Sus scrofa: one gene and its partner. The protein of the gene in region 1 purifies or fractionates together with the protein of each later gene. This does not show direct contact. Links are inferred from orthologs where the notes say so. Each region holds a gene or a part of one and is shown in the gene's direction. Other genes may lie near its edges.

Region 1 (3,736 bases):
CATGGAAGCTGCCCTAAAGACACAAAAAGATCAAAAAAAATGAAGAAGAAAATAAGTTTATTTTCAAAAAGTTGGGGTGTTTTTGTGGGTTTTTTTTTTAATATTTGTTTGCTTTTTAGGGCCGCACAGTGTCATATGGAAGTTCCCAGGCTAGGAGTTGAATCTGAGCTATAGCTGCCAGCCTACACCACAGCAAAGCAGGATCCTAGCTGCGTCTGTGACCTACATAGCTCACGACAATGCCAGACCCTTAACCCACTGAGCGAGGCCAGGGATGGAACCTGCATCCTCATGGCTACTATTTGGTTTCATTACTGCTGAGCCATGACACGAAATCCTAAAAACAGGTTTTAATTCAACTGTGGATCATAATGATGATTCCAATGTCAAGTGAGAAGTCACTGTAGCAGCAAAAACAAATATTCTTTAGAAATTCCTCTTAAGGAGTTTCCATTGTGGCTCATTGGTAATAAACCCAACTAGTGTCCTAGTGAACTGTGGTATAGGTCACAGACACAACTTCCATTCAACCCCTAGCCTGGGAACTACTTTTTTTTTTTTCAAGATAAATTTATTTTATTTAACCCACTGAGCGAGTCCAGGGATCGAACACGCAACCTCATGGTTCCTACTCGGATTCGTTAACCACTGAGCCACGACAGGAACTCTAGAACTTCTGTATGCTCCGGGTGTGGCCCTAAAAAGACATGAAAAGAAAAAAAAATAAATTTATGTTAAAGTCCCTTTTGGAGTTTCCCACATGGCTCAGCAGAAATGACTAAGTCATTGAGGATATGGATTCAAACCCTGGCAGTCAGGGATCTGGTGTTGCTGTGAGCTTTGGTGTAGGTCACAGACCTGTTGCTGTAGTTGTAGCTTAGTTTTAGCCCCTAGCTTGGGAATTTCCATTTGCTGTGGATGAGGCCCTAAAAAGCAAAAAAAAAAAAATCTTAATTTGCATAATGCAGGGTCAGTTTAGATAAGCTTGGGGAAGGATTCCAAACTGACAGTCTCCTCTGAATGTTACATTTCATAACTTCTGAGTCTGCAAGTTATCCATTGTCCTTTTGAGTAGCTAGCTCAAGGAAAAAATTTACAAACTATAGTCTGGAATGGAAATCATAATAGAGCTACTTAGAGAAAAAATATATAAGAATTATGTGTGTCACAAATATATAGGTCAGTTTTATTGTCGTTTTTTTGTCTCTTTAGGGCCGCACCCTTGGCATTGGAAGTTCCCAGTCTAGGGGCTTAGGTATGGCCTAAGTCACAGCCACAGTGACTCCAGATCCTAGCTGAGTCTGTGCCCTATACCATAGCTCACAACACTGGATCCTTAACCCACTGAATGAGACTAGGGATCAAACCTGAACCTTCTAGTCAGATTCATTTCTGCTGAGTCATGATGGGAACTCTAGTAGGTCAGTTTTAAATGAAACCAAGGTGGACAGCAAATCAAAAGTCAAGTATATTGAATCTTACAGTGTTGATAATAAAGTTTTATATGTGAAACTGATGTGAAGGTCATTGAAGTTATATTTGAATTAGGTTTTACTGAGTTTTCATATTTCTGATTGAGCAACCTGATGTTCTGTTCACTTAGCTGGTGGAGCTGTCGAAGGCTCAGGATATAGAAGCAGGAGATGGCACCACTTCGGTGGTCATCATTGCTGGCTCTCTTTTAGATTCCTGTACGAAGCTTCTTCAGAAAGGTAGGTAAGAAGACTTGGAACATGCTTTATATTACTGAATAAAGGCAAGAAGTTGCTAAGTAATATCTGATTTAAAATTTAATTTGGAACAGCTAATTTTTAATCAGAAATTTTTAGATTAAATTTCACCGTATTATGTGAGTTAGAAAATGTTTTCTTTTTCTAGGTCTCCTTTTGAATGGAATTTGATAAAATTTAGGGTATAGATGAGAACTGTGATTTGGGATATAATATGGGTTCTTGATTTGGTAAATAATTTTTAGACGTAGTAGTGACTCTCTGGTCAATTATTCTACTTATGTAGATTTGTAGAGTTTTGAAAAGTATGAAATTGGTTTTAGTCTCAAATATCACATGAGTATGTAACTAATCTATACCAAATTAAATGGAAGTAAATTATTAGGACTATTTGTGATTAAGGTTATAAAAGCCATTATGTTTATAACTGAAGCCTAAATTATAGTTTTAAATAATTGAGAATTTTACTGCTTTGAAATGTTAATGAATAGAGAAATTTTAAGTCATGTCAAATATGAAATTTGTCTGTTACAATTAAATAAGTGGTCCTTCATAAATGGCAGGGATTCATCCAACCATCATTTCTGAGTCATTCCAGAAGGCTCTGGAAAAGGGTATTGAAATCTTGACTGACATGTCTCGACCTGTGGAACTTAGTGACAGAGATACCTTGTTGAATAGTGCCACCACGTCGTTGAACTCAAAGGTGAGACCAGCACTGAAAGATCATAGTAAAATTATAATTTAAGGTTCATTAAGAATTACATACAAATCTTATGCTGTGGTTATTGATGCTGGACAGTTTATAAATGTTATTTCTCAAGAGTGACCATGTTACTAAACTAATTTTCTATAGGATTATGAGTAATCTGGTTAGTCCTGAGTACTGAGTACCATATTAATAAGAGAGAAATGCAAGTTTTCTTTGTTCTTTTTTTTTCTGGCCATGGCATGCAGGAATTCCCCAGCCAGAGATCTGACATGAGCCACAGCAGTGACAACACCGAATTCTTAACCATTCCCCGCCCCCAGGGAATTGAGAGCATATATTTTTAATTTTGTATCCTGGTTTCAGCAAACCTGAATAGAAAAGACAGTTTATATAGAATGTTTTCTCTTATGCTCTCCCAAAAGTGATTGAGATTACTTCTCGAATATTTTTATCATTATAAAGTAATAGGGCTTTTTCTGTTGTGACACTGATTCTGTTTTTTAATAATTCTAGGTTGTGTCTCAGTATTCAAGTCTCCTTTCTCCAATGAGTGTAAATGCAGTGATGAAAGTGATTGACCCAGCCACAGCTACTAGTGTAGATCTTAGAGATATTAAAATAGTTAAGAAACTTGGGTAAGTATCTCTCATTACAGCTTTAATTAATAGAAATCGATTTCGAAAGTAATATTGGTTGTTGGCAAAAATAAGTTAAATGGAAACCACCTAGAAAGTCACAAAAGTTTGGTTTTTGTTTGCATAGCAATTTGTATTAATGTGGGAATCTCAAGAATTTATTTACATTCCTAATGATGGCAGGGCAGTGTGGTTCAGGAATGGGCACTAGAAATGTGAATGAGGCTAAAGCACATTTTAATCACTGATAATTAAATTACTGATGATTTTTAAGGTGTTCTACTAAACTTGCAGATTTCCTCCCTCTTAATTATCTCATTTCCTTCTTCTTTTTTTTTTTTTTTTTTTTTTTTCTTTAAGTGGGACAATCGATGACTGTGAGTTGGTAGAAGGTCTGGTTCTTACTCAGAAAGTGGCAAATTCTGGCATAACCAGAGTTGAAAAGGCTAAGATTGGGCTTATTCAGTTCTGCTTATCTGCTCCTAAAACAGATGTAAGTAAAACTAAATGAAATGGTTGCTTGTGTGTTTGGCTAATACTGAAAACTTGCTCATTATTATAAAAATAGAAAATGCTGATACTAGTGATAAAAAGCATGGCTCTAAAAAGAATTAGTAAAGTTGAGACAAAAGTAGAAAATATTGGATGCCATATATGAT
Region 2 (2,845 bases), on another chromosome or scaffold:
ATATTTGGGACACACCTGTAGTAAAAATGATGTATGGTTGATGGGAAATTCAAATGTAAATGAGTACCCTGTTTATTTTTTTATTTTTATTTTTTTACTTTTCTAGTTTTTTGGCTGAGGCGGTGACATGTGGAAGTTTCTGGGCCAGGGATTGAACCCGCTCTACAGCAGCGACCTGAGCTGCTGCAGTGACAATGCCAGGTCCTTAACCCTCTGCACCACAGGGGAACTCCCTGAGTACCCTGTTTTCACTTGGCAACTGTCCTGGGGCTCCCCCTTCTTGAAGGCCAGTCAGAGCTCTTTGGGGCCTTGAGTTCATCTGGAATGAGAGGGGGAGACTCCTGAGAGGCTCTGTCCCCCGGAGGAGGACAGAAGTGCAGGAAAGAGAGTGAGGAGTTCCCGTCGTGGCTCAGCAGAAACGAATCAGACTGACATCCATGAAGATGCAGGTTTGATCCCTGGCCTCACTCAATGGGTTAAGGATCTGGCGTTGCCATGAGCTGTAGTGTAGGTCACAGACGCAGCTCAGATCTGGTGTTGCTGTGGCTGTGGTGGCTGCTGTTGCTATGAGCTGCGGTATAGGCCAGTGGCTACAGCTCTGATTCAACCCCTATAGCCTGGAAACCTCCAATATGCCACCGGTGCAGCCCTAAGAAGACCAAAAAAAAAAAAAAAAAAAAAAATTGCAGGAAAGACAGTGAGAGGCCAGAACAGGCTGCCCCGCCTCTGCCCCCAGCCCCCAGCCCAGGCTTTCTGTGGTCGCCTCTCCTGAACCCCCCACCCTCCTTCCCCCAGGGCGGTGGTTCGTGAGCACAGGGAAGGACAACCTGCTGAACGCCTGGAGGACGCCATATGGAGCCAGCATTTTCCAGGTACCTCCTGTCTGAGGTCCCCACCCTGGCAGGATACCAGGTGTCCAGGGACCTGGGGGAGGGTAGGGGGGGCTTTGAACAGAGGGATCTCCCCACTAGCCAGGAGCTACAGAAGCAGATGGTCAGCACGAGGGCCACATCTGTGTGCAACCAGATTTTGCGTGTTTTGTTTTTATAGTCACACCCATGGCATATGGAAGTTCCTGGGCCAGGGATGGAATCCAAGCTGCAGCTGCAGCCTACACCACAGCTGCAGCAAAACTGGATCCTAAACCCACTGCACCAGGCTGGGGATCCAGCCTGAACCTCTGCAGTTGACCTGAGCCACTGCAGTCGGATTCTTAACCTGCTGCATCACAGCGACAACGTCAGGTTTTTGTTTTTAATAGTGATAAAATACTTGTAAAATTTGCCATCTTGGAGTTTCCTCTGTGGTACAGTGGGTTAAGAATCTGGTGTTGTCACTACTGGGGCTTGGGTTGGTGCTGTGCCTCGAGTTTGGTCCCTGACCCCAGAACTTCCCGCATGCTATGGGCGAGGCCAAAAAAAAAAAAAAAGCTAATCATGTGATACAGACTGATTTGGTTTCTGGGCTTACTGGCTAGAGCTCATCTGGACTTCACTGAGCTTTCAGGTCAAAAGCTAAAAATGTACCACTGGACTCTACAGAAGTTTTCTGAGCACTGGTGTGGGTCATCCTGCTATAAGCCTTAGCCCTCTGCTGTGGTGTGTGGCCTCATGCCTGGTGCACACCCTCTGTGAGCTTCCAAAAAATAGTGGTCCCGTTCTTCTCAGGAGCACCATCACCTGTCCAGGGGCTCAGCTCCAAAAAAGGACCTTTCTCTGGAAACCATGTCACCCTTGTCCCCTACCCCCCGCCTAGGCTCCCCATGTTGGGCTCCTCCGAGTCTTGTGTCGGTCTCAGCCTGGACCATAGGCTCATCTTTAGGGGCAGGTGCTGCCCCAGCCATCTCGCCTTTTCCTTCTGAAGGGGTGGGTGGTTAGGAGCACGAACCAGACAGTACTGGCCTTGGCCATGCCTCACTCTCCCTTCTCTCCCCCCCTTCCCTGTCCTGGACTCACACCCCCTTCCCCTCCCTTCGGCAGTCCAAGGAGTCATCCTCTGTCCTGAGCTGTGACATCTCCGGGAATAACAAGTACATTGTGACGGGCTCGGGGGACAAGAAGGCCACTGTGTACGAGGTGGTCTACTGAGACCCCCTCTTCCTGCACCCTTGGCCCAACTCCTGGTGGAGAGACATCCAGGACTTTCTCTCCTGTCCTACTGTGAGCCCCACATCTCATCTGCTCTCTGACCCCCTGGCATCCTCCTCCACTGGATGTGGGGCCAGATGTGCAGGGGGACTTTGGGGAAATAAATGTATTTATCACAACTGCCTTTCCGTCTCAGGCTGGGGAACTGGGGACCCTTGCTCTTTCTGGGCGCCATTATTGAGAGAAGGCCACTTTCCAGTGGTGTGGCCGTGGGTCAGTGACTTTCTTTCAGCCTCTTTTTCCAGATAAGGACACTGAGGGAATTCATTCTGCATGAAACACTGAGTTCAAGAAATGGGTGTTGTATTGGGGCTGTGTGGCTTCTGTTCTGCCATGTAACAAACAGCCCCCAGATCTCAGTTGGTTGAAACAATAGATGTTTCATACTCACACCCGGAGGGCAGGTGGGGCTCAACTCCAAGTAGACACTTGGGACCACAGGATGGTGGGGGTTTCACCAGGTCAGTGTATAGCTTGGGGCCAACACAGCAGGAGAAATGAGTCCTGTTCAGCTTTTACAGCCTTGGCCCAAAAGCTTTACCGCCAGCCCTTTGCACAGAATCATCCAAAGACCCTGCCCACGAACAAAGAGTTAGGGAATATGGTGGTGCCTGAAGCTATTTGGGGTGCAGGTACATTTCCTTTGAAATCCAGAGAATTCCTCAGAGCCTGGCACATGACCTGGCTAAGCAGAGGTC

The links. The genes of interacting proteins can lie anywhere in the genome.
Region 2: the proteins of CCT4 (region 1) and TLE2 purify together in Homo sapiens (affinity purification with mass spectrometry; 3 studies listed by BioGRID and IntAct, with this or other methods). This does not show direct contact. The link is inferred for Sus scrofa from reciprocal best matches to the Homo sapiens genes CCT4 and TLE2.

The regions. Positions count from the first base shown.
Region 1 is NC_010445.4:79,930,729-79,934,464, forward strand, and holds part of CCT4 (T-complex protein 1 subunit delta), read left to right. Parts: intron 1-1,603; coding exon 1,604-1,712; intron 1,713-2,293; coding exon 2,294-2,436; intron 2,437-2,955; coding exon 2,956-3,077; intron 3,078-3,437; coding exon 3,438-3,570; intron 3,571-3,736. UniProt on the Homo sapiens protein: Component of the chaperonin-containing T-complex (TRiC), a molecular chaperone complex that assists the folding of actin, tubulin and other proteins upon ATP hydrolysis.
Region 2 is NC_010444.4:75,534,543-75,537,387, forward strand, and holds the end of TLE2 (transducin-like enhancer protein 2), read left to right. Parts: intron 1-795; coding exon 796-872; intron 873-1,979; coding exon 1,980-2,087; 3' UTR 2,088-2,270; downstream 2,271-2,845.